Linked DNA regions of Lytechinus pictus. The protein of the gene in region 3 binds, or shares a complex with, the protein of the main gene of each other region. Links are inferred from orthologs where the notes say so. Each region holds a gene or a part of one and is shown on either strand. Other genes may lie near its edges. The genes, in order: DPY30 domain-containing protein 1-like, ropporin-1-like protein and nucleoside diphosphate kinase homolog 5-like.

The links.
Region 1: nucleoside diphosphate kinase homolog 5-like (region 3) and DPY30 domain-containing protein 1-like share a complex: the UniProt entries of both Homo sapiens proteins name them as parts of the axonemal radial spoke complex. The link is inferred for Lytechinus pictus from reciprocal best matches to the Homo sapiens genes NME5 and DYDC1.
Region 2: nucleoside diphosphate kinase homolog 5-like (region 3) and ropporin-1-like protein share a complex: the UniProt entries of both Homo sapiens proteins name them as parts of the axonemal radial spoke complex. The link is inferred for Lytechinus pictus from reciprocal best matches to the Homo sapiens genes NME5 and ROPN1L.

The regions. Positions count from the first base shown.
Region 1 is NC_087262.1:9,006,883-9,018,120, forward strand, and holds the start of DPY30 domain-containing protein 1-like, read right to left. Parts: upstream 5,185-11,238; 5' UTR 5,023-5,184; intron 1,828-5,022; 5' UTR 1,808-1,827; coding exon 1,661-1,807; intron 1,030-1,660; coding exon 907-1,029; intron 1-906. UniProt on the Homo sapiens protein: Functions as part of axonemal radial spoke complexes that play an important part in the motility of sperm and cilia. Plays a crucial role during acrosome biogenesis.
Region 2 is NC_087253.1:25,057,800-25,068,784, forward strand, and holds the start of ropporin-1-like protein, read left to right. Parts: upstream 1-5,774; 5' UTR 5,775-5,862; intron 5,863-7,165; 5' UTR 7,166-7,186; coding exon 7,187-7,326; intron 7,327-8,723; coding exon 8,724-8,847; intron 8,848-9,807; coding exon 9,808-9,969; intron 9,970-10,708; coding exon 10,709-10,884; intron 10,885-10,985. Other genes in the region: patatin-like phospholipase domain-containing protein 4, read left to right, coding at 305-646, 1,946-2,011, 2,435-2,803. UniProt on the Homo sapiens protein: Functions as part of axonemal radial spoke complexes that play an important part in the motility of sperm and cilia. Important for male fertility.
Region 3 is NC_087262.1:20,225,377-20,236,396, reverse strand, and holds the start of nucleoside diphosphate kinase homolog 5-like, read right to left. Parts: upstream 4,986-11,020; 5' UTR 4,890-4,985; coding exon 4,743-4,889; intron 1-4,742. UniProt on the Homo sapiens protein: Functions as part of axonemal radial spoke complexes that play an important part in the motility of sperm and cilia. Does not seem to have nucleoside diphosphate kinase (NDPK) activity.

The DNA.
Region 1 (11,238 bases), about 11 Mb from region 3:
TACTCTATTCATTAAGCTATAAATACTTTCAGCCCGGACTATCCCTTTAAAGGACAAGTCCACCCCAACAAAAAGTTGATTTGAATAAAAAGAGAAAATCTAACAAGCATAACACTGAAAATTTAATCAAAATCGGATGTAAAATAAGAAAGTTATGACATTTCAAAGTTTCGTTTAATTTATAAAAAAAACAGTTACATGCACATCCTGGTCGGTATGCAAATGAGGAAACTGATGACGTCATCCACTCACTATTTCTTTTGTATTTTTATTACATGAAATATGAAATATTCTAATTTTCTCCTCATTGTCAAGTGAAACAGCGAATAATTCCTCCCTAAACATGTGGAATCAGCATTGTTTAATACTATATGATTCAGTCAACTTGGTCCTTATTGTCAAATCTGTAAAAAAAGAAATATTTTATAATTCAAACAATAGAAAACAAAAGAAATAGTGAGTGATGGACATCATCGACTGACGCATTTGCATGACGCTGAGTTGTGCATATCACTGTTTTGTGAAAAATAAGCGAAAATTTAAAATGCCATCACTTTCTTATTTTACATCCGATTTTGATGAAATTTTAGCGTTATGCTAGTTTGATTTTTCTCTATTTATTCAAATCAACATTTTCTTGGGTGGACTTGACCTTTAAATCCTAGCACTATTTATACTCAAACTTTGGTGTTGTGACTATCTTGTGTTTGGTTTTCATAACCAAGCTTTGGTTCGAAAAATAGAGCTAACTGCAATGTTGATAGCCCAACACCTTTGACATTAATCCAATAACCTGTTACACTCAAAGTTGGGTTTTGTTCTTGGTGTTCTATTTTCTCCGATGCCAACACTAGCATTCAACACCATACTTGAAGCTATCCACCATCCACAGTTGGGTGTTCTTACCTCTTTGGCTTCTCTCTCTTCTTGTGCTAATCTTTCTGCTTCTAATCTCATCTTCTCTTGTCTCTCCTTCTCTTTCTCTGCCTCTATCCTTTCCTCTTCCAGTCTTACAGCTAAGTCTGCTTGCTGCAAATTAAGAAAGAAAAATCAAGTCTAAAGTTTGGTTAAAGTGTCAATTGTGAATTGTACTGAGGTATCATCTCGGTTGTCTAATCTAACAAACATCTAGTTATGGCCTTTGAATATTTTCTGTCCAACCATTATGCTGCAGTCACATTTCCCCTACGGCTGCCATACGGCAAGAAGAAAACAGCTGTTTAAGCATTTTTTAATATCAACTATATGAAGGTGGTTTGAATCAAATTAGATGAAACGGCAATTTTTGACTAGCCGTAAGGCGGCCACAGGGGGAATCATGTGACTGCAGCATTAGTCTTTGTGAAAATTTAAAAGGTATCTGGCACCCTCTTTCAGTATTAATTGAATTTTCTTTTTCAAAATCCTTTTGGGCCCTTATCATATTGCAGGCATATGGGCTGTCATGTTGTCAGATCACAAGGTCTATTTCCAAGTTTCACATATAATAAATCACTGAAATAACAGTCACTAGACCTATACTTACAAATTTTTACACATAAGATTTTATGTTTAGCAAAACTATTTTTTAAAAAGCTTCAATATGTGTTGTCTGTCAGAATGCGCAATTTACATACCGTAATTTCTTTAACATAAATACAAACAATAAATGTTTCCATACCTCATTTGCATAGATTTCATTCTCCTTGTATTTATAGAGCCATTGTGCTATGTATTCAATAGGGTCAAGCGGTCTTTTCTCGGCTACCTCTGCCAGCGCTCTTGTAAGGCAATCTCCGAGATGTTTCTTTAGGTATTCTGTATCCATGTCTGAAGATGACTTAAACTCTGTAAAGGAGAGAAAAAGAAGTGGGATTTAGATCCAACAGTAACAACAACACTCATAATATTACTGAAAAGGTTTTCAGAAATCTGTGTAGAGACGGGCACTAATTTGAACACTTCCTTTAATCTAGATTGTATGCTGTGTGAACACCGCCCCTACTATGACTATAGACATTCCCCTCTCTTGGATACAAGTATGTTAATGACAATGCATCCCTTTCTATTAACATTATGTAAGTCTTAAGCTGCTGCATTGGGCAATTTATAGGGGTCTATTGTAATGTCATGCCTTGCTCACTGATGCTTGGCAGTGACATAGCAGTAACTCCTAGTCAGGCACAGGGTATAAATAGGAGACACAGTTTAGGTAGAGAGTGGTTGTTTGAGTTTGCTTCTAATGGATCCATCGCTGAAAGAGTATATGACCTGGCCTGTGGACATGACATACCCCGGCAGTATACATCCTCCAGCTAGGATCGAACAGAGCGCTCTGCAACGGTACCTTTGCATCGCTTCCGAGCTTCAACCAGGCCATCGAAGTACTCCATGATCCATTATTAAGGTTAGACTTAGTAGTTAGTAGTTTATAGCGTAAGTTAGGCCACGATACAACATCTGGGGGGCGTTTCATCAACATTTTTGTCCGACAAGTTGTCAGATCTGACAACTTTTCTGGATTTTGATTGGCTGAGAAGCACTGTTACTATGGTAACTGTCGGATAAAATGGGAGTTGTCGGATAAAACATCTGTCAAGTCCTTTCATGAAACGCTCCCCTGCTTAACTAGTCTGAAACAATAACTTTGGGCATCTAGATCTTAGATGGTTTACTTGCTGTGGTTGTCTTGCTTGCACTTAGACTCTCGATTGATCTGTTTTTTGTTTTTTTTGTAACTATTGTATTTCGTTGCAATTTTGTTGCTGAATATTAATTAAAACAATTCACAGATGGGGAAGAAAGAAGTGACTTTGTAATTATGGAGAGTACAGCGTGAATTCAAGATCCCGCGAATATGTTTTGAAGCCGCCAAGCATGAATTATTAATCCTGCGAAAATAACAGCGTTTACAGTAAATGGGCTAGAACTTAATTTCCGACATTTATATAATATCCATTTTATTTTTAAACAAATATTCATTAAGAAATTTCTAGAAATATATTTGAGAAGACAGGAAAAAACTTGCCGACATCTATGTAGCCAAATCTTGCTTTCTTTGTTAGTAGCTAAGCTATGAGACACCTAAAGAGGGCGGCAGACTCTATTTGCAGCTTAGCTACTAACAAGAAAGCAACATGGCTATGTAAACATTGGCAAGTTTTTTCCCCATCTTCTAAAAATATATTTCTCGTTTTTATTTAATGAACATTTGTTTAAAAATGAAATTGATATTCTATAAATGTGGAAAATGAAGTTCTAGCCCATTTTCATGATTTAGGGTTAGATCTTTCACAGGGAAAGTACTTAGTAGAAATCTAGTCCAGTCCGTACTCACCATCGGTACAGAGAGCTCTAAAAGTCGCATTGCGTAAAAATCACAATTTACCGATAAAAGTGTACAGTTCAATTGACATTTACCGGACAAAGATGGTGGAACTAGAAAACCGAATCAGTTGGAACAGCCCCGTGTGCCCGACAGTTTATTATTTTTTCCGACAGTCTGCAGTCCAGTTTTTGTTTTCCCCTTTCTCTTAAACTCTTTCTTCTTTTTCCCCTTCCCCCTTTTTTTCTCTTTCCTTTTTCCTCTTCTTTTTTCTTTCCCTTTTTTCGCTTCCTTTTTTTTTTGCTTTGTGACTCGTCAGGGGGGGGGGAGAGTCTGCCCCTGCCCCCCCTTAGGTACGCTAGTGACCATACTGCATGCTCGCATAGTACGTGTGCATGTGGTAGTTAACTTTACTGAATGCACGAAGCCATATCGTAGATTAATAATCTATCATTAGGCCCTCTCATTAAGTTTGTTTGACATGCTGTACTTTATTTCTGAGCTCTACAGAATTTCTGTGCTCTACAGAATTTCTGACATAAATTATGTGTTCTCTATTTTTGACGAGCTCGCGCTATTCGCGATGGACTATAATTCAGTCATTTTGTTTACTTTTGCGGTTGTCTGTATTTCTGTTGTTGTTTATGTTTCTGAAGTTTTCTTTAATTCTGAGGTTGTCTATATTTATGAGGTTGTCTTTATTTCTCTGATGGCTGCCTATATTTCTGAAAATGTCTTTATTTCTCAAACCGTTAATTTGGGCACTTTTGGCCGCCCATAGGGACTGTGTCTGTGTTCTCTTCCCGGAGTAGAGCAAAAGCTTCGGTCTCTGTTATGTTAGTTGTTCCACTGAACTCCGTTGGCTCCACTCACCAAATACAGAGACCGAAGTTCTAGCTCGATCTGTACAGGGGACTCATGGCCATATGTTTACATGTATGTTTTACTATGTATTAAGTTCGGATAAAACAGGTAGGGCCTAAGTGAAGTTGCGCACTTGCGCGAGAGCGGAAGTAAGTCACTGTTTTTTCCCCTTTTGAGTTTATTTTTCCCCGTTTTGGTGCATTACAGGCCAAAACGGAATATTAATCTTTAATTTGGTACCGTAGATTTAGTTCTTTTTATATAATTTTATGAAATAAAATTAAATGAAATAAATTTTATGAAATAAAATTAAAGACAAAAATCGACGAGCCCCGTCTGGGGGGATTTTGCATTGTTAACCCCCTAAATGGTGGCTGCACGATAGAGAGCTGTCTGTGTAAGAGGAGAAATTTAAAAAAAAAAATTAATGTTAAAAAACTCGAAACAGACGGCTGCCTGTGCCAGCTGTCTTACTCTGACTCTCTGTCGTATTAGTGTCTATTCCCGCGGAATTTGGAAACATGTCACATTGATCTGTTGATACTGATACTGATAGACCATCAACTCGGTTGCCTGGGTTAGTACCTACATCATGTACATGTAACTAGCCGTCTCACATTAGGGCTTAGCATAGGCCTAGATCTAATTCTAGATTACTCTAGTCTAGACAATTATCTCAGTCATATTTATCGAACGATGGATTGAACTAGACTCGACGATCGACAGGCTTCAAGTCAACCTTACACAAAACTGCGCATATGGGGCCGAGTAACGAATGCTTTATTTTGATGTTCCGGTATAAGAACCGTCTACAATAAAATAATTTACACTTTTTATAAAATGAAAACACTTACAATCAAAACAATATATTTCACAGTTTTATGATAGCTTCCCTTTGATATAATCACTTCTAAGATGGAATTATGGTTTGATTTATATTCCGTTGCCAAGACAAAACAATTTCTGTAATCACAACAACAATTACTCGTTTCCAACCAACGTAGAGGGCGGTATGTAAACATTGAAGCGGAATTCGAGACAAAATTGCTAGTAATTTATTGTTCTCGATGTAACCTTTCAATAATTTTTCCACTTTCGGTTTAAGGACGTTCCACAGTTAAAGTGAAATCCATGTCATTTTCACCAAACTTTGCACATAGATACTTTAGAACCTTAATATTCGAAATATGCAAAAATTAACATAGGTCCATGTGCTTGATTTTTTGCTATAGAGCTTCAAAGTTCACCCAAATTGATGTTCTTAAAAATTGCGCATTCAAAAGAATTTGGCATTTTTAGACCACCCAAGATTACTACAATGAGTTTAAACCTCTATTACTCAGTCAAAATACATGAAAAAGTCATCAAATTTCGCAAGAGAGTTAATAATTGTATCGTTAGAATGGAGAATCTATTTATAGTGCTATTTGTTTGCAATTTTAAGTTTAACAGCACTGCCATTTCTTAAAAATTGCATAAAAGATAACAAAATCCCAATCTAAAAAATGTGAAATTTCAGTTACAAACTACAAACGTACAATAAATGCTGCACTTTATTCAAAATCCATGTCATTTTCACCAAAATTTGCAGAGTTGTAGAAGAAGGTATACCTAAGCGGTACAAACATTAAAAAATAGGGGTTCATGTGCTTGTTTTTAAACTATCATCATTTTTATTAGAGCAAATGTGCTTTTTAAAACACCAAAAATGCGCCGAATGCGTTGTATCTATGTGAAGAAAAAATCAAAACCACTCTACCATTTATTCAAACTCGGGGTAATATTCGTGATTCTTGGCAGCACTGCAGAGTAAAGTATTTTGAAATTGTAGAGAATGTTTTTTTGAATGGTCCATGGAATAATTCCACTTTATAGCTTCATGAAATAACACATCGGATCTGCAGTTAAAGTGCAGAAGATGAGAAAAATCAGCTCATACCCGCAGCTAATTAATCACCTGTTCATCCATTGTGACGTCAGCGCGCAGAGTGTAAACTATGCGCAGATCATAATGCGCACAAACATAACTGTGGAACGTCCTTAATATAATTTTAACGATGAATTTAAACTAGTCAGGGGCGAATCCAGCTTTCGCCGAAAAGGGGCCCAACATTTTGTTGACCTATATTACCCCGATTGGCCGCTCAAAGAGACTTTTGTTTATTTCTCTGTAGGGGTAGTCCTAACAGACACTTCTTAATTAGCTTTATTCTTATTAAACAACATACTAGTAATCTCATAAGCCCTACTTGAAGCGCGAGCAAAAAATTTATATCGTGATATGAAAAAGATTTTTCGAATTTTCCAGTCTTCCCCTCACCTTATTTTATTCACTAGCTTCCTCCTCTTATTTTTCCTTTTCTCGGCCTCCCCCTTTCTTTCCCCTTCTTTCTTCTTTTTTTTGCTCAGCCAGTGGGGGGCTGGATCCGCCTATGGTAGAGCATCTCCGGCCCTCACGGCTTAACGAATGAGATTGAGGATCTTGTCTCCTTGTCTTCTCGTCCTAAATAGGTCGACTTGACGAGATTGAGGATCTTGTCTTCTCATCTGCTCGTCCTGAGTCGACTTCAGTTGACGAGATCAGTCTTCTCATCCTAAATAAGTCGACATGACGAGATAATGTATCTTGTCTTCTTGTCTATATTCGCGCTTAATTAAGTAGACTTGACAAGATTGAGGATCTCGTTTTTTGTCTTCTTTCCTCGTCTTCTTGTCATCTTTTCACGTCTTCTCATCTAGTTTTCTGGGGGCACGTCTAACCTTCCGACGTATAGTAGCTCCATGTATCCGTTTGCGTGATGCGGATTGGCTCGAATTGGCTCCAATCACCAACAAACTTCAAGTTTCATGTTTAACTCCCGGTTACTTTGTGTATATAATTTTCTTTCTTCCCCCCCCCCCCATGATTTCGATTCTTTTACATAGCGTGTAGTTTGTCTTTTTAATTAATCCTTCATTGTCAATGTTTCATGATTGTTATATGTATTTTTGTATGTACAGGGCTCTCTCGAAAAACAGTGTATACTTTATGTAATGAAGAGACCACCCTATTTAGAATATAAATGAATACATTTGTTACTTTGCTTCTGTAATTATTTTGTAACTGTCGATGTTGATTTGTATATTTATTTTAAAAAAGCAACTATAGGCCTGATTATGTTTACTTATTGGAAACAATTTTTTCTTTTATGCTTATTGCTATTTAATGAAACCATTCCTTATCGCAGAAACCATACGAAACACTATGGATAGAGAAAGACAGTAAAAATCTAGGATAAACTGGAATATGTTCATGTTTATGTTTTACGTCAGGTGACATTATCTTTTTGAAATTTTCCCCTCTCTCCAACTATTAAGCGCATATATATAGTCCAGAGACGGTCTCATGTTTAGGCCAAGTACAAGACCTGGAAAAGTTGTTAAATACAAGTTTTTTTGTTGATTTGTAATCTAGATGGGTATTGAAGTAAATTCAGCTTAGTTGCCACCTTGGAAACCTTGAGCAATTTTTTAATTAGACTAATAAGCATAATCATCTAATTAGCATATATGTAATACGCTACTTCTCTTAAATCAGAAAGACTTTAAAAAAATAAATTATATCATTTTTCGAAGAAGTCCCGTGACGAGGAATCGATACATAATTTTTTTTAAATATTTAGGTTATGCAATTATCGTAATCAGCCAAATTAGCATAATGGGCTAATCAGCGTTTACAAGTGTACATACGTATTTATGGATGTCTATCGAGAAAACGCCCAATACGTATAGGTAATGCTGCTGCTGCAACCCTCCTATGGTTTTCTATGGCGAGGAATTCATTTATGACATTATTTTTCAATTTTAACCAATATAATAGCTGTAATTAACATAATTAGCATGCACTAATTAACATAATGTGTGATATGTAGATTTAATCGTCAAAGTGCTGTCTACAACGGCCTGAAAACATATATAATACAGCTCTTCTAATGATTTCGATGTTGATGAATTCATTTATGACAGTGATTTTCCCTTTTAACCAATGACAATGTCTTAATTAGAATAATTAACATAATGCATTAATTACCATAATGTGCAATATATACATGCATATGTATACATATATATATATATATATATTGTGAAAGAAATGGATGAAGAGAACATTGTATAGGCGTAGCTTAAATCAAGGTTCCCTAGAGCTATCTACCCTTTTGGAAAAAAAATGATATGTCGAATAATGTCTCTGCCGGGAATCGAACCCGGGCCCCCAGCTTTGATATATATAAATATATATATATATATATAATGTATTTCTTTGTCATTTTACATCGAGAATGCCCCAAAACATGAATAATACAACTATTCCATATGACGAGGAATTCATTTATTATTAGCATAATAAGCTTATTAACATATATGAACAATAAAATTACATATGAATATACATTCCTTTGTCATTATATATCAAGAATGCCCGAAAACATGAATAATACAGCTATCCTATGATTTTCTATGACGAGGAATTCTTTTGTGACATTATTTTTTTCAATTTTTTTTTATTTTGCCAAATGCGCTAATACATATGTGAAATATATATATTCCATTGTCATTTTATATTGAGAATGCCTCAAAGAAGTTAATACAGCTATCCTATGGTTTTCAATGATGATGATTTCTTTTGTGACATTATTTTTCCGATTTAACAAACATTATTGTTTTAATTAAGCATGATGTGCAAATTAACATATCTGAGCAATATAATTACCTATAAATATATATTCCTTTGTCATTTTATATCGAGAATGCCAAAAAACACTAATTATACGGCTATTTCATAGTTTTCTATGACAAGAAATTCATCTATAACATTATATTTCGCTTTTAACAATGTTAATGTTAAATTAGCGTAATGAGCTAATTAAAGTGGAACGAATCTGGCAGTCTCGCCTGCATTATGCGATTTTATATAGCAGCAATTTTGGCTATGAAAACAGCTATTGAATAAAATATTCACAATAGGAAACATTCATATTTCAATATTGACCCAAAATGGCATTTGACCATGATCATGTGACCTAACACGTTCATGTCCAAAACATTCATTCATACTTATGTATGTACCCTTATGTCTGTGTTTGATGAATTAGATCCATGAACTTTCTAAAGTTATGATGCCAAGTTAACGAATACCCCTAACACGGCCATAGTTCACAGACCTTAATGACCAATTTGATCTTGGTCATGTGACCTGATATGCGCACAGGATATTCAGGGATAGGCCTACATGGTTGCACTTATGTCGAAGTTTCATGAGCTACATGCAGATCCATAAACTTTTAAAGTGATGACAATTCCACAAATACTCCCAACATTACCAAAGTTGGTTGACCCAAATGACCTTTGGCCTTGACTGTGGTCATGTGACCTGAAACTTGCACATGATTTTCAGGGATATTAATTATGTCCAAGCTTCATGAACTAGATCGATATAAGTTTCAAGTTATGATGACAACTCCACAAATAGCCCCAACATGGCCAAAGTTCATTGACCCTAAGCGACTTTGACCTTGGTCGTGTGGCCTTAAACTCAGGCAGGATGTCATTACTTGATTATCCTTATGTCTAAGTTTCGTGAACTATGTCCATACACTTTCTAAGTTATGACGACATTTCAAAAACTTAACCTTGGTTAAATTTCAATGTTGACGACGCCGCCGTTGCCGCCGCTGTCGGAATAGCGGCGCCTATATAGTATCGTTTTGCTATGCAGGCGAGATAATAACTACAGTGACAAAGAAATAATTGCACTTATATTTTAATTACCACAAACCATAGGATAGCTGTATTTTCATGTTTTCAGGCACTCTTGATATAAACTAACAAAGGGATATATACTTATATATTGGATAAAGATGTTATTAGTGCGTTATTCTAATTAAGACATTGACATTTGTTAAAAAGGAAAATTATTGTCATAAATTAATTCCTCAACATAGAAAATATTAGAAGAACTATTATATGTTTTTAGGCCGATGTACACAGTACTTTGACAAAGAAATATATATATTGCAGACGTTAATTAGTGCATTATGCTAATTACGCTAATTACAACAATAACATTGGTTAAAAGGGAAAACTAATGTCACAAAAGAATTCTTCATCATAGAAAACTTTGGGATAGCTGTATTGTTTCGCATACATTCGTAATTCCGAAGCTTCGTTATTCCGAAGGTTCGTATTTCCGATGGTTCGTATTTCCGAAGGTTCGTTAGTCCGAAAACGAAATGAGGCTCGTAATTCCGAAGGTTCGTTAATCCGAAAAAGAGATGAGGTTCGTAATTCCGAAGGTTCGTTAGTCCGAAAACTAAATGATTAACTAACCTTATTTCGTTTTCGGACTAACGAACCTTCGGAACAACGAACCTTATTTCGTTTTTCGGATTAACGAACCTTCGGAACAACGAACCTTAGTTCGTTTTCGGATTATCGAACCTTCGGAAAAACGAACCTTCGGAATAACGCCGCAAATGTTCGGATTAACGAACCCTTTTACGTTTTCGGATTAACGAACATCGAGGTATAGGCAATTTACGTGTTTCGGAATTACGAACCTTCGGAATAAAGAACCTTCGGAATTACGAAGTGTAACCGTATTGTTTATGCTTTCGGGCATTCTCAACGTAAAATGACAAAGCAAAATATATATTACACAGCATATATGTTAATTAGCGCATTATGCAAATAATTATACTAAACAATTACATTGGTAAAAAAGGGAAAATATTGTCATAAATGTATTCCTCGTCATAAAAAAACCATGGGATATTTTGTCAAGTTTTCGGGCATTCTTGATATAAAATGACAAAGGAATATATATATTGCACATAATTAAAGTATTATACTAATTATGCTAATTACGACAATTACATCGGTATAAAGGGGAAAATAAGGTCATAAATGAATCCTCGTCATAGAAAACCATAGGATAGCTGTATTATTCATGTTTTCGGGCATTCTCGATATGAAATTGCAAAGGAATATATATTATCTTACACACATATATGGTAATTAGCGCAATAAGCTAA
Region 2 (10,985 bases), on a different chromosome or scaffold from region 3:
CTATCATTCTACCTCCCATTCTGTCCCTTTTTTCTCACCCTCTACCCATTCCCTCTCCTCACTTCCCTTATTTCGTTTACCACTTAAAAAAAAAAATCACTTTGCATTTTTGTTAGATTTTATTAATCAATAGAGGCCTTAATATTCAGAATTCGAATTCTGTTCGTCAACCATCTTCATTTTCTTTATTTTTTGACGAAAATATTAGAACTTTGTCGTTAGATTTTGCCGTTTTAATATGTAATTTTACTTATACTATGTATACTAGATTGATTCATTATTTCGTGTTTTTTTTCTCACTTAGGATTTACTCTGTGGCCTATACAGTATCGTCGACGATATTTCGTCTCTCCCATACGGTGCCATCACACCAGGCTTTGATTTAATTGGTCGTCTGCGCGCGCTCCTTACCCAGCTTCTACCAATGAACGCACACGAATTAGCATCTCATAAATTATTCATCCAGGCCACCGAGCTGCGATTGGTCGATAAGTACGACCCGCTGACCGTTCATGACGTCGATCAAGGGACGAGCTCGTGCGTGAGAACCAAGGGACCGAAAGTATTTGAGGTTGGTGATCGGGTTTGGAGCTTAGGGTCCGAGGTTCAGATCTCAAGTTATAGTACCAGAGAAGAGCTCATTGAAGTAAGTGATAATTCCTCTTATGTCTCCGAATTTCATTTAGATCTCCCTATACCCACTTAAATATTCCATTTCATATAGATCTGATATTTCCCCTTTCAAATTCTCTCTTTTTCTTTTCCTTATACACTGTTATATATAAGAATTGTAAGAGCAATTACATTAATTTATTTAGCTATTTCCTCTTTAAGGATATTCATAGCATATAATGATTAAGAATATTCCAGAATGTCTCAGTGAAGCTTTGTTAGGCATGCTATTTAATGAGATAGAATAATCTTTGTTATTACTGGAATGTATTAAGATAGACATTAGGCGGCCTGCAGTGAAAAGGACAATAGGATTAGCTATGTTGTTTACATTGTTAATTTCACTGAGGTCATTCAAGAGTCTAAAATTAGACTGCTCTAGAAATTCGCAGAATGTTCTTTTTATAGACAATACTAGAAGCTTCCAGAATAGTGAATTTGTATATAAGCTGACAGTTTCTTCAAGGACATCATCACATCAGATCAGAACTCAGAGTTTCACACCAGACTTTATGTCGGAGTATAGTTTATTTCCAACTGGAATATAACATTTATCTTCTATGGAATTATCTGCACGCCATCAATGAATTGTTTGCAGTTATTTTGAGAGAGTGTATGGTTAATTATTTCCTGTAATAAAAAAAAGGAAATCAAATTTGAAACTACATTTTCATTGTTATATGTTGCGGTATCGTAACAACACAAGTAACCAATTATTTATTCTTTCATTTTTCAAGGGGATCCACACTTTACAAGCATACTACCTTTTTAAAAATATACCTTATCGTCTTCAATTCTTCTTGCAAAGTCCAATAATTATTTTTTTGTGTGTAATAATGTTCATTCGTGAATTTGTATTTGGTTTATGGTCCTTTGTATCATGTTTGAATTGGGAAAGAAAATATAGTCTTGAACCCAGGCGTGGTTCCTGTTAAAATGGGGGCATGTGTCCCTTAAACATTTTTTTTTCTTCTTTTCAAAGTGATCATAACGTGAAAATGCTGATAACATTTAATTTGTTGTTGTCATTTTTTGGATGGGGTGGGGAGGGGAAAAAGTGCCCCCTCCCTGTCATAATTCCTGGATCATCTACACTGATATATCAATTCCTACTATATATTTTTTTCCTCGCTCTTTCTTCCTTGAAAAAAATTTATCGTTATCGTTATCTCTCACTAATCGAGCACCTGCTTGTTTCGTATAATACAGTAGTGAATATAGGCATTTAACATCTTTTTAAACGTTTGCTTTTGTTTATTTTATTTCGTTACAGGTTATCCTTGGGAGTGTCTTCGTTCCTTGGTTCACAACGTGGACACCGCCCTCTATAGACGGCAAGGTAGGATTTTTTTTTTTAACTCTTGTTATTATTATCAGCATCCAAGTGATCTCATTTGACACCCGTTTGGGGGATAAAGTTGTCTTTCATCTCATATTGCTATAATACCACCTCTTTGTTTTAGATAATTCAAGTCATTTCTTACAACGGGGCGATATATTGACAAACACCTCCAACCCAAGAAATAAAAGAAGAACTCCACAGCAAATAATATCGATTTGATAGTTTTGAAAATTGAATGTTAAGTATCATGTTGCTCTGATAAACTCAAGGTTCAACCCCCCCCCACCTCCATATTGTTAAAGATTTGTTTTTTCATTTTGCTTAATCTATTGTAAGGAATTAACTTTTCATCATATCTGGACCCGTCAGTTGACTAATAGTTTTTTGCGTGTTCAACTGTATTACCCCTCCCCCTTGCAGTTCCTTGGTGACGTCACCCTGTCCCGGAAGGAGAACCTCTCTACCGACGTGACCTTTCAATTCCCATCAGGCAATCTGATCAAGATCTCGCCAAATCCGAAAAACCGCCTCCGGATGCGGGACAAGATCGCTTGCGGTTGGGTGGACACAACCGGTCAGCGGTTCGACATCAGCGCGCTGCAGATGTACCGGATTGGGGATGGGCTTTTCCCGCCCCCAAAGGCCTATCTTGAGACCTATTTTGCGGACGGGTACGAAGATGCGACTAGGTTTTTGAAGTTGTATCATATTTACGAGGAGAACGGGAAAGGTTATAAACCTCATCGGGACTCGTATGCTGCTATTCATTCGGTTGAGGATCTTCGGTGAGGACAAATCACCATGGATACAACAACCATCGAATCGTCAGGGTTTGGATTTCCGGTTATAGTCAGATCCGGGTGTCACGAGCTTTCATGGAATAATTTTCTGATACCAGACTTTAGGAAAAGCTTCGGAAATGCCTATAAAAGAGATATATATTGGCCCGTCATTGGGGAAAATGAAATAGGTTTACCATCGAGAAATTAGGCCTATATAATCCTCATTACCAGGTCCCTCGATCGCCGGTAGACCTTAAGCCGTCGGTCCTCTGATTACTTGCTTACAAGCATTATGCTAATTTCTTGGCAATCAGGTAAAACATCACTAACCACCAATTATTGGGCGAAAGCTCTGCTCCTTCTGGCAACTGTCATGCATGGTGGAAAAAGCATTTACCATAAGGCAATTTCCTGTAGCATATGTCGTCTGCTGGTCGTAAATCTCGTTCTACTCTGTCAGATTTGAAATTAGGAGATGATATTCGAGCAATAAGATAATAAAGTATAATTTTTACGAATTAAGTATGCTGGTTATTGTGAATCTAAATTTAAAAAAATCCCCTATAAGACCATTTCTACAATGAAAATTAATTTGTTTTTACTGTACACTTTCCGACACTTTGTAAAGTCGATCCCCCCTTCCTTTAATGTATGCCATGTTTTGTGCAAATAAAAACATAATTTTTATGATAATGATTGAATTGTGACTATATTTTTAGATTATCTATTTTCATTTATTTTCTCATTGGGGTTGACGTTGATCGATCAATATGGCATTTTTCAATCCCATTCACATTTTGATTTTCTTATGTCTTTATATTGTAACTATTTATATTTGTATGTATGTATTTTGTTTGTACTAATATATTTTTTTTTACTCAAGATGTGGAAAATAAATTGAATTGAATTGAATTGAAAGGAGAAAAGGGGGCGACAGGTTGACAGAGACAGAAAGAATGTGAGAGAGGGAGAGAAAGAGAGAGAGGGGAGAGAAGGAGAGGACCAAGGAAGAGAGGGGGAGAGCTAGGGAAAGGTTACAAAAGGGGAGAGATAAACAGACAGACAGGAAGAGTGAGAGAGAGAGTAGGGGGCGGGGGAGAGAGAGAGGGAAAGGTTACAAAAGGTGAGAGATAAACAGACAGACAGGGAGAGTGAGGGGCGAGGAAGAGAGAGAGAGGGGGGGGAGAAGGTTAGAAAGGGGGATATTAGAATGTGCATGTGAGGATGGGTGTGTCCGTGAGAGAGGTCGGGGAAAAAATGAGAGAGGGAAAGGTTAGAACAGAGAAAAGTGAGAGATAGAGTTAAAATAAGAGCGAGGGAGAGAGGGCGGATGAATAGAAAGAGAGGAGGGGGGGGGGGAGGTTAGAAAAGAGAGAGAGAGGGAGAGTGTGAGAGGGGGATCGGCCAGAGAGGTGAGGGGAAGACAGGATGGGTTTATATGGACATTATAGACCAAACCAAGATTTCCATCATAGTTGTTTTAAATTTATTTATCGGGGAAGGGCAAACCTACTAAATGGGAGCGTCTATTTTTTTTCAACAATAAAATTATATAATTAAACATACCCTCTTTTCTTCTTCTTCTTCTAATTTTTATTATTATTATTATTGTTATTATTATCATTTATTTATTCATTCATTTCATTCTTTTTTTCTTATTTTTCTCCTCTATGTATAAGTTGGGTAGTCACATGTGCTCTGCCCCATTTTAGCACCATTCCTGCCTATTATGCACTGACTCAGACAAAGTCAAGCCTTAAAAAACATTTGCCTACCAAATGTTCAAAAGAATGTCACAATAATAATGGCAATAATTATAATTAATATGTTAAGAAAGCCATATTCAGTGCTAAATCAATATATTTATAAAAAATAAAAACGGAGAATAGAAAATATGGAGAAAGATGGTGCTTTCCCACACCATCTTTATATGCATAAGTAAACAGATCAATATTGCTATTAAAGGTCATGTCCACCCCAGAAAAATGTTGATTTGAATAAATAGAGAAAAATCAAACTAGCAAAAAACTGGAAATTTCATCAAAATTTGATGTAAAAAAAGAAAGTTATGACACTTTAAAGTTTTGCTTATTTTTCACAAAACAGTGATATGCACAACCCAAATGAGAAAGTCGATGATGTCCCTCACTTACTATTTCTTTTGTTTTTTATTGTTTGAATTATACAATATTTCATTTTTTATTGATTTGACAATAAGGACCAACTTGACTGAATCATATAGTATTAAACAATGCTCGTTCAACATGTTCAGGAAGGAATTAATCGTTGTTTCACTTGACAATAAGGAGAAAAAATAGAATATTCCCTATTTCATATAATAAAATACAAAAGAAATAGTGAGTGGATGACGTCATCAGTCTCCTCTTTTGCATACCCGCCAGGATGTGCATATAACTGTTTTGTGATATATTAAGCAAAACTTTAAAATATCATAACTTTCTTATTTTACATCCGATTTCGATGAAATTTTAGCGTTATGCTTGTTGGATTTTTCTCTTTTTTTTAATCAACTTTTTGTTTGGGTGGACTTGTCCTTTAATTTAGGACGAAAATTATTACAGAAAATAAGACCGTTCTGTTTATTGCACCAATCTTCAGTTTTGCCCCGTTCACATTTTCTGCACCCGGCCGGCCTCCCGACAAACATATTTTGTAGGATCTAGCTTCCTCCCGGGGGGCGCATTAGGGTTAGTTTGGGGGCGATGATTTAATTTTCAGTTGAAGTTCATTAAAATATATTAATTTTGCAGGCCTATATGACCAAGCCCACGCAATTCCTTCCCCCCCTTTTTTTCTTCTCCCTTCTCTTTTTACTATTTTCAAAGTCGCCCTGCCCAACACCCCCCCCCTTCCGATACTTATTTTGTCCATTAGCCACGGAAAAATATCCGTGGGCGCGCGGCGGCGAGATACTTTTTAGATCGAAAAGAAAAAGTTTGAGACACTGACGATTCTGCGCATGCGTGAAATTCTATGTTGCCTTGTCAACGCTGGTCAATCAAGAATCTTTTTCCAATCTAGAATCCTACATATTTCTTCCGTCACGTAAGTATATTTTAGGAATTTGTTCTAAAAATAGTAAGAAATAATAAGTCTTCTCATTCCTAGGTTTCTGTATGTTTGCTTTATTGCAAAAAGTTGCATTTTATGTGTGATTAGTTTTCCCAGTTTCGAGTAAATTTATTTGTGTAGTCCCATACATAGAATTTCGTGTTGGATTTTTGACCCAGAATGATTTCTATTGTGTCGGTTTGTTTTTCTCTTGTAAAATGTAAGTTAAGACTAAGTGATATTCATATGTATCTTTAACGATTCTTATGTTTGTTGTGTTGGTGAGTTAATTCATGACAAAATCTGGTCGTGAGTCAGTGGAGTTCGACGTCTAAACTAAAAGTAAAACGTCTCACTCTCAAGAACAGAGATGTGAGAAACAGAAAAGAAAGAGAGAAAATTGCAAAATGAGTTGGCTCTTCTCCCCCTTGTTCTCTTTCGTCATGCAAATCTTTTTTACCTCTCCAGTCTTGTTCTTGTCCATTTTATTTATCTTCCTCCTGCACCTAGATCTATTCCTTTTTTACTTTCTCTTTTTCTTCCCATTTCTCAAAGTAGGGTGTCTGGAGAAAAAAAATATTTTTCTTATTTCAAGAAAATATCACATTTTCTTTGTGAATTTGAGGGGAAATGACCTTCAGACTGACAGAAATGTAACATTTTTGAAAAAAATCAAATTATTGGATGCAAAAAAGAAGAATGAAATTAGGTAAATTTTCAGCATTTCTCTGCCATAGACTGTGTAGTTAAGAAATGGACACACACAAATCCGAATTTTTAGCTTCCGAGAGCTGTTATAAATTTATTATTAATGCCAAAAACTTGTCCATAAAGAGTCCAATAGGATTTTTTATGCTCTATCTGATGGTATGATTTTTATAAAGATTTGGAAACCAGATCACAATGAAAAATTGCGACAAAGTGAAAAAAATTGTGCAAAACAGAAATTTCATTTTCCCATAGAAAACGCATGGAGAAATGGCAATCTCAACACACACAAAAATAAGGGTTTGCAATTTATCTCTAAATCCTTATTTAAAATGATCCTATAAACTTGTCCTTACTGTCAAAAGAAGCCCCTGAATTTTCTCTTTCCATACATGCCAAACACAAGTTAATAATCAATTCAGATCACATTTTTCTAGTAGCCTGAACTTCCCCGAAAAAAATGTGCCATATTTTCCCCTAAATCAGCCTGTTTTATGCTGACACTTTTCAGTGTGGCTTCAGACACCCTACTCAAAGACTCAAGCCTCCCCACTTGATTAAAAAAATTCCCCTTTCTCTCATTCTACAGACTCGCAAAATAAGAATCAAGATGCCAGGAGTAGGTGATGACGTACCTATGTACTGCTCACAGCAGATAAACATTCCCCCTGACCTACCTGATATCATGAAGCAGTTCACCAAGTCTGCCATCAGGACCCAGCCGGCTGATGTCCTTCAGTGGTCAGCAGCGTAAGTCCAAATCAGTGGCCTGTTTCGTAAAAATTTTTATGAAAAATTTGGGCAACAACAGATACTGAAATCCTTCCATATAATAGTAAATTTGTTACAGGAAAAGTGCATATGTTTTGATAACATTTCTTTATGAAATCCGACCCAGGATTTTAGGATGGGGCAGTGTCTGGATACTTATATTGATGTCATTTTTTTATAGCAGTAAATTCTTGACATGCATGCATTAATATAAATAATTCTAATAGTTTATATTTGTAATGTTGTCTTACATTACATTGCTTTCAAACAATTTATGAAATATTAATCACGACGTTCCCAGGATTTAATGCTCAATTAACTCCATCACAGAAAAATGTTGATTTGAATAAATGGAGAAAAATCAAACTTGCATAACATTGAAAATTTCATCAAAATCGGATGTAAAATAAGAAAGTTATGACACTTTAAACTTTTGTTATTTTTCATAAAAGATTGATATGCACAACTCGGTGACATATATGCAAATGAGACAAACAATGATGTCCCTCACTCACTATTTTTTTTGTTTTTTACTGTTTGAATTATACAATATTTTATTTTTTACAGATTTGACAATAAGGACCAACTTGACTGAACCATATAGTATTAAACAAGGCCAACTCCTCATGTTCAGGGAGGAATTAATCATTCTTTCACTTGACAAATGACAATGAGGAGAAAATAAAAATATTTCATATGATAACATACAAAAGAAATAGGAGTGGATGATGTCATCAGTCTCCTCATTTGCATACAAACCAGGATGTGCATATAACTGTTTTGTAAAATTATGCAAAACTTTAAAATCTAATAACTTTCTTAATTTACATCTGATTTTGATGAAATTTTCAGTGTTATGCTTGTTGGATTTTTCTCTTTTTATTATAAAAAATTAACTGTTTGTTGGGGTAGACTTGTCCTCTAAAACAACCTGTCTTGACATACGACAACTGGGTACTTCTGAAATGGGGTAACAATTATGAAATTAAGTTCTTTCAATTTAAAAACAGCATATTGTGAGCAGAAAACCATTTGCCTAAAATTCCCAAAATGTTTGTTTTGCTGAGCAATAACCAAAGTTATTTTCTTGGCAGCCCCACTTTTGACCCAGTTTAAATTGCAGTTAACCCGGAATCGTTGTCGTTACCCAGTGTCTTAAAAAGATTTTTAGCTTTTAATTTATTGGCTACCCAGTATCCACAAGGTTTGCAAGACTGAGATAATTGATTCATACTTTCAGTAAAACCAGAGCTTAGAATACAGCCTTTTGTCCTCATAGACTTGTCCTCATTTATGAATATTTAGTTGTTGTTACAGATAGCTTTTCCCCTTAGATTTCCGCATGAAAAAAACATTTGTGTGTTCCTATTTTGCAGATATTTTCATGCCCTTGCCAATGGGGAGACACCCCCAGTGAAGGAAAGGCTTGAGATGCCCATGGCCACACAGAAAACAGACACTGGACTAACACCAGGAATCCTCTCAGTGCTTAACAGACAGGTATGTTCCCAAGGCTATTTTTTTTAAAATCATTATAGATGGCAATGTCATCAATATTCAAATCTTAACCAAGGTTAAGTTGTTTAAATGTCATATCTCACAAAGTATATGGACCTAGTTCATTAAACTTGGACATATTGGTATTGAAGTTTCACTGACCATTTGGCATCAGTTTAGTTGTTTAGATAGATATACCCCTTTGTGTTTCTCTAATATAATCATTTTCAATAGTATGAAATATAAAGCAAACTATCTCTTTTGATTACAGTAGATGCCTAAGACAAATGATCACTTCTGTGCCAATATCAATGTATATGAGATCTTTCCTCAATTTTGCTTTGAAAAGATTCATGTAGCTCCAGCTAGGGAGTATTTCATGAAAGGTTTTGTCAGTGATATTCATTTATTTGCTCTTAGCCAATCAGATGCAAGGATTTCAGAAACCTATAACAATAGGTAGTCAATGAAAATCATTGACTATTGACTATATATGTTTCATGAAAATGCTCGAAAGAATTGATAGTTTGTCCTCTTACCTACACAAATGAGAGCGAAGTTAGCTCAGTCGATAAAGGGTCTGACCGTCGAACCAAATGTTGTAGGTTTGAGTCCACCCCGGGCGGATTACTGAAGCCTGCGTTGTTTGTGAATGTAGCTCCACTGTTCCATAGATCCAGGCTGTGTTATAGTGGAAAATATTCTGTCTCTTGGATAGGGCATTAGATTGAGGCCCCCTGTAGAGGAGAGTTGCCACCTTCGCATGTTATAAACCCACTGCACTATTGGTATAAGAGTAGGGCGAAACCCAGTGTAGTGGTTCACCTGCACTCCCCCAATCAGTTATATCAGGAGAGACCTGCGGGTCACAGTAATTCAGTTCGCTTTTCGCCTCCCATGCACAGGTGATGCCAAACAAATGATAATAACATTTGCATACGATTTGTTTTTTTCATCCCTCAGCTTGGTCCTAAGAAGAAAATCTCACTGGAAGAACTTGAACAGAAATGGAAGGATAACTGTCTCCCTAAGGAGAGAATGTTCAGCTTGATTCAGATTGGTAGCTTCGGGGATGAGATCGAATGGCCAAAGTTCTTTGCCCTTGCCTGCTCAGCTCTCGCAGGGGTAAGTTTTGTTGTTCTTTTTAAGCCTCAGGACATGCTGGATGTAATGCATCAAAAAGGAATTGTTTTGATGATGAGATGATGATGATCCACATCATTTATATTGCATCATATTTCTGTTGAAACATTCATAGGCACAGGCTCATCCAATTAAGCTAATTGCTAAAAGTGGGATATCTTAAGTCATGCTTCTGTAACAATTGTTCCTTTTCAATCTTCCATGTTCTGTGACTAACCTTTCTCTAATCGTAAATGTAAACTAGTTGGATGTCTCACAAAACTTCAAAAAGTTAAATTCCAATTCAAGCGCAGTTCCTTTGATAAATAAAATATAACAGATTTTTTATTCAGTCGCAACTCGGCTTTCTTGTAACACCCCATTAAGCTTGATTTGGGGACTTTGCTTGATTTGGAATGGAACTCGAGTCTCTTGCAAACTCTGTAAAACTCCCTAGAAGCTCCAAGTTGAAGCTTTTATCTTTAAAAAGCGCACATGAGCCAGAACAATTATAGCAGAAAAGTCTGATCACATTATAAGCTTAAAAATCACTGCTGTTTGCAAGGTTGCACTTTATATTTGATTGTTAAATCTAAAAAAACATTCAGACTGTAGATCACCAGCACAGAAAAGTACATGTGGGACAATGTATAATTGTTTGTTAGACAAATATGCTACACCTTGCTGGAATGCACTGATTATCATACTCATTTCTGTGTGACCTTTGACCTTTAACCTCCAGAACATCACCTCTGCTATGAAGGTCATCTGTGAGATTTTGACCAAGGACCCAGAGGGCGGTGCAGCGAGGATACCCTTTGACCTCTTCAAGGAGCTCTATACGTACCTGGCTCAGATTGACGGAGAGATCTCGGAAGAGCAGATAGAGGGCGTCTTCACCTACCTGCAATACCATGTGTAAGTCATAACTAATAAAACATTTGTGTGCTGCTTTTAAAAGTAAAAGGCAGTAGTTGTAGCAAATAATTATTTCATGAAAAAGCCTTTTAAATCAAGGT
Region 3 (11,020 bases):
TGGAGTGATGTTGTTTTTGTTTTTCTTTAATAGAATATCACCCATTCTAGAAAACTGAACTTTGTATCTAACACTTAGTTGCCCTAGTGTTGTTTTCCAATCTACATTTTCTAGTTCCTGGTATCATGATTATGGATGTAATCATTTAAGGTGTACCAGTTAGAAAATTTTTGACTTTTTGTATATATTTACATAAATTATGCAAGTTGCAGGTCACGTGGTTGATAAATTGTTGACACAAGCATTAGCTCTATGATCACCTTCTCAATGACTCTTAAGACAAGCTTCTGTAACAATAAAATTATTGTATTTACTAGATAATTTGAACAACTTGAACAAATTGTGGCAATATTATTTAATAAGTTATATATCAGTGATAATGGGGTACTCCTGGCTGAAAATGATATGATTTGAACAAAGAAAACATTAAAAATTTGATCAAAATCGGATAAGGAATAACAAAATTATCGCTGCATTTTAAAGAATGATTTGCATTATTCTGGTGAAACAGGTCTGGCGTGTCTACATGGATATTCAATAAGCAAGCTTATGATGTCACATCCTCACTTTTATTATATGAAATTAGATTGATTAATTTTTAAACGTTAAATTCAATAACCCCGCTATTTGATGTCAGATTTTAATGAAATAAGCACTTTGATATGTGAATGTTACTATATCAAAGTGCTTATTTCATTAAATATTTTCATTAAATATTTTCATCCCGGAGCATCCCTTTAAATGATTTATTTATTATTTCTGTTTTCTCAAGAAAGAGTGGTCTCTTTAATAAACAAGTGGAATGCCTCTGGCCGTCTCACCTGCATCACGCGATTCAATATAGCAGCAGTGCTGATTTTGAAAACTACTATAACTCGCACAAGATGTTCAGTGATACTTGGTTACTCTTATTTCCACGTTTTATGAACTAGACCAATACACTTAAATAGAGATATGATGGCAATTCAACAAATACCCCCAACGTGGCCAAAGTTCTTTGACCTTACATGACCTTTGACCTTGATCATGTGACCTGAAACTCGCACAGGATGTTCAGTGATACTTGATTACTATTATGTCCAAGTTTTATGAACTAGACCAACACACTTTCAAATTTATGGCTGTAATTCAACAAATACCCCAATTTGGCCAAAGTTCATTGACCCTAAATGACCTTTGACCTTGATCATGTGACCTGAAACTTGCACAGGATGTTCAGTAATACTTGATAACTATTATGTCCAAGTTTCATGAATCAGATCCATAAACTTTCAAAGTTATGATGGTAATTCAACAGATACCCCCAATTCGGCCAAAGTTCATTGACCCTAAATGACCTTTGACCTTGGTCATGTGACGTGAAACTCATGCAGGATGTTCAGTGATACTTGATTAACCTTATGTATAAGTTTCATGAACTAGGTCCATATATTTTCTAAGTTATGATGACATTTCAAAAACTTAACCTTAGGTTAAGATTTTGATGTTGATTCCCCCAACATGGTCTAAGTTCATTGACCCTAAATGACCTTTGACCTTGGTCATGTGACATGAAACTCAGGCAGGATGTTCAGTAATACTTGATTAACCTTATGGCCAAGTTTCATGAACTAGGTCCATATACTTTCTAAGTTATGCTGTCATTTCAAAAACTTAACCTCAGGTTAAGATTTGGTGTTGACGCCGCCGTCGCCGCCGCCGCCGCCGCCGTCGCCGTCGGAAAAGCGGCGCCTATAGTCTCACTCTGCTATGCAGGTGAGACAAAAAAACTGAGTTAAGTAGAGAGCCCTGTAATGATACAACAAGTGGAACGTCACTGGCAGTCTTACCTGACACCTGCATTACACGATTTAATATAGCAGCAGTGCCCGGGAGCAGTGCTGACTTTGAAAACTACAATAAAATAGTTATTCAAAATTAGTTATTCAACAAATACCCCCACATGGCCAAAGTTCATTGACATTGAATGACCTTTGACCTTGGTCATGTGACCTGAAACTCGCTGCAGGATGTTCAGTGATACTTGATTAATCTTATGTCCAAGTTTCATGAACTATGTCCAAATACTTTCTAAGTTATGCTGTCATTTCAGAAACTTATTCGGTTAAGATTTGATGTTGACGCTGCCGTCGGAAAAGCGGCGCCTATAGTCTCACTCTGCTATCCAGGTGAGACAAAAATCATGATACAGTGATGAAAAATAAAGTAAAATAAATTTAATAAAAAAGAAAAACCACATGCTATATAAAAGAAATGAAATTCAAAATCATAAATTCGTCATTTTTATTGAATGAAGAATTTAATTTATTGATAATTGGAAAAAATATTACCCCTATTTTCTTTCAATATAACCAAAATACGTGTAGGGCCTAGTGTGATTTTCATCACATAACATGATTTAGAACAAAAATCAAGCCATAATTTTGGGTTATCATGTGGGACGGAATCTTCATGACTGCATTCGTCGGACGGAATTTTTCTCTTAAATCCATCTCTGCCGGCTTTTCACCTTCCCTCTCCATCATCCTCATCCCTATCATCATCCTCGTCCCTATCATCATCCCCATGGGCGGAAATCTGTCCCCAGGGGGGACCTGGGGCTGGAAAATTTGACAAGCATTAAAAAAAAAGGTTATCGCCCAAAATGTAGGGTCATTTTATAACCCAAAAATAATTGACAAGAAAAAAAAGGGGGTTTTCACAAATATAAGGTCATTAATTTAGTCCTAAATACATGTATTATTTCAATTGTGAATGATGTATTATTTTGTTCTCCATCATACAAGAAGAAAAATAGTAGGGTGGACATTTGATATTGTGTCCCTTTACTATTTTTGGTAGGGGGACACGTCCCCCCCTGGGATTTCCTCCCATAATCATCCCCATCCCTCACACCCTTGTCCCTCTCACCATCTCCATGCACCCCTCTCATCAAGAGTCATCATCCCCATCCCTCTTATCATTGCCATCCCTCACCTCCTCGTCCCTCTCATCATCGAGGCCCATCCCTCATCATCGCCATCCCTCACATCCTCGTCCGTTTCATCATCCTCATCTCCATCTCTTTCATTACCTTTATCCCTCTCATCACCCCCCCCCCCTTCTCATTAAGAGTCATCAAAAATTATCATCCCTCTCATCATCACCATCTCTCACCTCCTCGTCCCTCTCATCATCAAGGCCCACCCCTCATCATCGCCATCCCTCACATCCTCGCCCCTCTCACCATCTCCAAAACTCGGCTCTCTACACCAGGGAAACTCAATATAAAAAATAAAAATGAAATTGGCATGCCCACACAGATACACCTAGAACATTTTCACATTTCGGGGGCAGGAGTGAAGAGGCTCCGAGCCCCCATCCACGTAAAAGTATTTTTTGTGCGACTCAAACATCCACACCACAGTCACACTCAAAGTCAAAGAAATTGAAGCATATTGATTATTACAACTTAAAACTCAGCTCTCTACACCAGGGACACTCAACATAAAAAAATAAAATAAAATGAAAAAAAAAATAGGCCTAAAAATAATCAATTTGAAGTTAAAAATTAAGCCCCCAAATAAACATTTATTATTGATGGCTACCCTCAGCCCGGCATACCCACACATCTACACTGCGAATATTTTTTCACATTTCGGGGGCAGGAGTGAAATCGCCCCGAGCCCCCACACTGATCGTAAAAGTATTTTTTGTGCGACTCAAACATCCACACCACAGTCACACTCAGTCAAAGAAATTGAAGTATATTAAATTATTATCTTAAAGCTCTACACCAGGGAAAATAAAAATAGAAAAAATAAAAAAAATATATAGGCTTATAAATATATACAAAAAAAAGGCAGAACCTATACGACACTGCCAAGCTTCAAGCTCTAGTTCACTCTCTCACTCAGTCAAGCTCAGCTCTTTGACTGCGCACGCCCACTTCCATTGGGGATTCGGGCTGAATCCCACCCCGCCAGTTTAGGCGGCCGAGCTACGTAGAATTGCGATGAAGAGCAGCGGACCGTTCATCGGTTGTTCGCTTCTTGCGACCAGAGAGAAAAGGTGAAAAACTTTAACAAAATCGTGCAAATGCACCAAATTTTATTCTTGTGATGAGAAAATGGAGTTAATGGAATACAAGAATGTCCATCTTCTGCGATAAAAGTGGTAACTTGAGGATAAATGATCACAAAATCAAGTCAGTTGTTGAGCGGGGCCGAGCCGAGCACCGACACAGTTAATACACGCGCGCCTATGGGAATCGCGAGCTGTCGAAAAACGCCTAAAATTACACTTTTTTTTTATTTCAGCGAAAAAAAAGTAATAGAAAGTGAAGAACATTAGTCATTACCATCAGACCATATCTCTAGAAAATCTTTACAAGAAATTACGAAATGACGGAAAAATAGACGCAGATTTGTGAAAAAAAAATCTCGTAATGGGTGGGACAACTCGGCCCGCGGTCCGAGATGTCCCGTGGTCCGAGTTGACCCGACAACTAAAGACAAGGAATAGGGGCCTAGGGCTATTCCTACCTAGAACTTAACTAGGTTAAGGCCTAGTTTAAAGAAACAAACTGAGTATTTGATGGAAAATTATTCGAAGAAGGTTTGTTAAATGCAATTCGACAAAACATGATTGAAGACAAACCAACAAAAGGACACACACAGTCACTCAGCTCAATCACGACACAGCAACCACAGGGAACATGACACATTCTGCAGTATCTGGGACTGTGATATTGATAATTTTACCTGCAAAATAGTGAAACCCGACTGCAGGATAATTTCCTCGATTTCGACTGCTCTGTCGATTGCATCTGGTTTTATAAGTGCAAGAGTCCTTTCTACATAGACCTGAGGAGGCTCCATCATTCTGTTCTCTATGTCGTTTTGAGGCATTTTGGTGATTTTTCAGAGAATATTAGCCCACGAAATCTCGATGTCAGCTGCTTCTGTTGCCAAGTAACAAAATATAAAGCGCCCTCTGCGTTCATTAAGTTCGAGGTGATTATCGTACAAGGACAAGGTTGATAGCATAGAGATATACTATAGTATCCCGTAATTAGTAACCAACTGGAATAAAATTATTGGAAATGGTTTTTTGACTGATTTGAGTAGGTATGGGTGTCAACATTTACCAAAAAAAAGTTAGGAGGAATACGGGTTGGGGAAAGTGCTTTTTTTCAAGGTCAAAGGTCGATGACCTTTTTAAATATACTGTATCATGGTATCTCCCAGATAAAATATTACAGGTTGGTGATCATAGTGTCAAAATGCACAGATTCTTACAAGAAGATCAAATAAAATCAAATCAAGTACCTACAATGCTCATTCACCCATGAAATTCAAGGTCAAAGCCTTTCAAAGTTCAATGACCTTTATTACATTATATACCTTATACGGTATAATGGTATCTCTGAGATGAAAAGGTGCAGGTTGGTGATCTAGGTGTCAAAATGCAGAGGTTCTTATAGGAAGATCAAATAAAATCAAATTAATTACCCAGAATGCACATTAAACAATAAAATTCAAGGTCAAAGCCTTTCAAAGGTCAATTACCTTTTTTCTACATTATATACCATATTCGGTATAATGCTATCTCTCAGATGAAAAGGCGCAGGTTGGTGATCTTGGTGTCAAAATGCACAGATTCTTACAGGAAGGTCAAATAAAATAAAATTAATCACCTAGAATGCATACTAACCCATAAAGTTCAAGGTCAAAGGTCAGTGACCTTTTTACATAGGCTATATATCGTATAAAGGTATCTTTGAGATAAAATGCTGCATGTTGGTGATTTTGATGTCAAAAAGCAATTTTTGCAAGAAGATAAAAAAAACTAAAATAATCATACAGAATTATCCAATATCCAAAGTCAAAGGTCAAAAGTTGATAAATATTTATATATCCATGCATGATTCCCCCAAAAAAGAAATTAATCCATTATATTCACATTTTATTTGTGAATAATAGAAAGAAAGATAACTATTTGTAATGAACATTTGGAAGTCTAATAATTTCACTCTGAAAGAAATAAGGATATAAAATGGCCATGGAAAATATATTTAGGAGTTAAAGGTCAATCAACTATGTCAATAGTGTCAGGGAATTTAAGTAAATAGGTCGATATAACGTGATTGTGGCACGTAGGTATAGTGATTCAGATGGGAAAAAGACTGACCTGCGTGGAAAAAGAACACAAATTTAATAGTTGAATCCTTGACCAATGATGATGTCAAAATACAAGTTCGAGGTAAAATTGGATCAAATAGCACTTTTTTTAATAATATACTGTAATGCATTGACAAAAGTGTAAAAAAAAGCATTTAGATATGCATTTTATAAATCTAAATCAAGGTACTAATTTCTCTGTAGCAATAGGTCACTAACCTCAAATGCTACAATCAATACTATAACACTATAACTTAATCTGTAAATGGAAAGGATAGGCCTAAGTCTTATGACAAGCATCATCCGAGAACATTTTCATATAGCCAGGGACAATGACGAAGAATTAAAATAAGGCAATCATTAGAGCTGCAGCTTTTTTTGTCATAGATGAAGTTAAGTGTCTCAACTTCAGCAAAGAGTAATTGAACTCTTGAAAACCTTCTGACATTTTCAAGACTTTGATCTGGCCCATTCAATGAAAGCCTAACGTTCTGTCAAGGGATATCAGACCAGGATCTATATTATTACTGATAATTGCACATCTTGATTCTCAAGAACTGGAAGTGGTGCTGTAGGAGTTTTGTTAGGTCGATGGATGTGTACTTGTAAGCTATTATCTCCTTTTGAATTGCATTGTTATATGCCACATTTGTACATGATAACAATCAGTTGTTCTGGACCAAAAACATGATCCTTGTACAAACTGATACCTAGTAGAAATAGCATCATGGGTGACGTACGGCAGAGAGCAGATATGAAGTTTTGTCTTGCAGCATTAGCATCACAAGATATTCTGGCAGCTCGCAATGAACTGATGAAAGATACTAATTATACGGGAATTCACCTTTGTTGAAGTTGATATATATATAATTTACTACATGTATATGACAGAAGCTGCAGCTCTAATGATGGCCTTCATTTCATCATCATCATCATCCCTCTGCTGTTTGGAAATGCTCTCAGAAGATGCTAGCTGTGACATGAGAGTTAGACCTGTCCTATCCATTTTCAGAAGATTAAGCTAATAGTTTATAGTATTTATTATAGCATTGATGTGAGTGGCCTATCGCTGGAGAGAAAAGACACGACAACATTGGTTTAGATATAATGATGCATTAAATGTTGCTACTTAAGATAAAAATCATTTCAAATTATATACTTGATTTCATTTATTTTTTCAGTGCTTTTGGCAATGCATCGCAGTATATGAAAAAGTGTTATTTGGTTATCAACTTTTTAAACTTAATTTCCACTGATATTTTGGAAAGGGCTCATTGACCTCTGACCCCTAAATACATTCTCCATGGCCTTCATTATTTCAGACCGAAATTATGAAACCTCCATGTTTTCATTACAAATTAGCCATGGTTATTTACATTATTCAGATATAAAATATGAACACAAAAGATATTGTTTTTGGTTATTTTTATATCATATAGATTATATATTTCCTCTGATCTAGGATTTCAAGGGTGAAAGTTTATTCTTTATACTTATTTTAGTGTTGTTTAATCTTCTTGTACAAGTCTTTGGATTTTGGCACCAAGATCACCAACCTGCGGTGTTTTATCTCAGAGATACCATTATTATTATCTAATGTTAAAAAGGACATTGACCTTTGTCCTTGAATTTTATGGGTGAATGTGCATTCTCGATGCATAATTTTATTTTATCTTCCTGTAAGAATATGCGTGTTTTGACACCAAGAACAGCTGCACCGTTTTACCTTAGAGATACATATGTAATATAAAAGGTCATTGACCTTTGGCCTTAAATTTTATGCGTGAATGTGCATTCTAGGTACTTAATTTTATTCCATTTGATCTTCTGGAAAGAATCTATGCATTTTGACACCATGATCACCAACCTGTGCTTTTTCATCTCAGGGATACCATTATACAGTATGGTATATAATGTAAATAGGTCATTGACCTTTGAAAAGCTTTGACCTTGAATTTTATTGGTGAATGTGCATTCTAGGTACTTAAGTTTATTTTATTTGATCTTCTTGTAAGAATCTGTACATTTTGATACCATGATCACCAGCATGTACCTTATCATCTCAGAGATACCATTATACGGTATGGTATATAATGTAAAAAAGGTCATTGACTTTTTGAAAGGCTTTGATCTTGAATTTTATTGGTGAATGTGCATTCTAGGTACTTAAGTTTATTCTATTTGATATTCTGGTAAGAATTTGTGCATTTTGACACCATTATCACCAACCTGCGCCTTTCCATCTCAGAGATACGAAAAGGTCATTGACCTTTGACCTTGAAAAAAAGCACTTTCCCCAACCCGTATTCCTCCTAACTTTTTTTTGGTAAATGTTGACACCCATACCTACTCAAATCAGTCAAAAAACCATTTCCAATAATTTTATTCCAGATTGGCTCTTTTGGGGTCTAATTTAGGGATACTAGTATCCCGTAATTAGTAACCAACTGGAATAAAATTATTGGAAATGGTTTTTTGACTGATTTGAGTAGGTATGGGTGTCAACATTTACCAAAAAAAAGTTAGGAGGAATACGGGTTGGGGAAAGTGCTTTTTTTCAAGGTCAAAGGTCGATGACCTTTTTAAATATACTGTATCATGGTATCTCCCAGATAAAATATTACAGGTTGGTGATCATAGTGTCAAAATGCACAGATTCTTACAAGAAGATCAAATAAAATCAAATCAAGTACCTACAATGCTCATTCACCCATGAAATTCAAGGTCAAAGCCTTTCAAAGTTCAATGACCTTTATTACATTATATACCTTATACGGTATAATGGTATCTCTGAGATGAAAAGGTGCAGGTTGGTGATCTAGGTGTCAAAATGCAGAGGTTCTTATAGGAAGATCAAATAAAATCAAATTAATTACCCAGAATGCACATTAAACAATAAAATTCAAGGTCAAAGCCTTTCAAAGGTCAATTACCTTTTTTCTACATTATATACCATATTCGGTATAATGCTATCTCTCAGATGAAAAGGCGCAGGTTGGTGATCTTGGTGTCAAAATGCACAGATTCTTACAGGAAGGTCAAATAAAATAAAATTAATCACCTAGAATGCATACTAACCCATAAAGTTCAAGGTCAAAGGTCAGTGACCTTTTTACATAGGCTATATATCGTATAAAGGTATCTTTGAGATAAAATGCTGCATGTTGGTGATTTTGATGTCAAAAAGCAATTTTTGCAAGAAGATAAAAAAAACTAAAATAATCATACAGAATTATCCAATATCCAAAGTCAAAGGTCAAAAGTTGATAAATATTTATATATCCATGCATGATTCCCCCAAAAAAGAAATTAATCCATTATATTCACATTTTATTTGTGAATAATAGAAAGAAAGATAACTATTTGTAATGAACATTTGGAAGTCTAATAATTTCACTCTGAAAGAAATAAGGATATAAAATGGCCATGGAAAATATATTTAGGAGTTAAAGGTCAATCAACTATGTCAATAGTGTCAGGGAATTTAAGTAAATAGGTCGATATAACGTGATTGTGGCACGTAGGTATAGTGATTCAGATGGGAAAAAGACTGACCTGCGTGGAAAAAGAACACAAATTTAATAGTTGAATCCTTGACCAATGATGATGTCAAAATACAAGTTCGAGGTAAAATTGGATCAAATAGCACTTTTTTTAATAATATACTGTAATGCATTGACAAAAGTGTAAAAAAAAGCATTTAGATATGCATTTTATAAATCTAAATCAAGGTACTAATTTCTCTGTAGCAATAGGTCACTAACCTCAAATGCTACAATCAATACTATAACACTATAACTTAATCTGTAAATGGAAAGGATAGGCCTAAGTCTTATGACAAGCATCATCCGAGAACATTTTCATATAGCCAGGGACAATGACGAAGAATTAAAATAAGGCAATCATTAGAGCTGCAGCTTTTTTTGTCATAGATGAAGTTAAGTGTCTCAACTTCAGCAAAGAGTAATTGAACTCTTGAAAACCTTCTGACATTTTCAAGACTTTGATCTGGCCCATTCAATGAAAGCCTAACGTTCTGTCAAGGGATATCAGACCAGGATCTATATTATTACTGATAATTGCACATCTTGATTCTCAAGAACTGGAAGTGGTGCTGTAGGAGTTTTGTTAGGTCGATGGATGTGTACTTGTAAGCTATTATCTCCTTTTGAATTGCATTGTTATATGCCACATTTGTACATGATAACAATCAGTTGTTCTGGACCAAAAACATGATCCTTGTACAAACTGATACCTAGTAGAAATAGCATCATGGGTGACGTACGGCAGAGAGCAGATATGAAGTTTTGTCTTGCAGCATTAGCATCACAAGATATTCTGGCAGCTCGCAATGAACTGATGAAAGATACTAATTATACGGGAATTCACCTTTGTTGAAGTTGATATATATATAATTTACTACATGTATATGACAGAAGCTGCAGCTCTAATGATGGCCTTCATTTCATCATCATCATCATCCCTCTGCTGTTTGGAAATGCTCTCAGAAGATGCTAGCTGTGACATGAGAGTTAGACCTGTCCTATCCATTTTCAGAAGATTAAGCTAATAGTTTATAGTATTTATTATAGCATTGATGTGAGTGGCCTATCGCTGGAGAGAAAAGACACGACAACATTGGTTTAGATATAATGATGCATTAAATGTTGCTACTTAAGATAAAAATCATTTCAAATTATATACTTGATTTCATTTATTTTTTCAGTGCTTTTGGCAATGCATCGCAGTATATGAAAAAGTGTTATTTGGTTATCAACTTTTTAAACTTAATTTCCACTGATATTTTGGAAAGGGCTCATTGACCTCTGACCCCTAAATACATTCTCCATGGCCTTCAT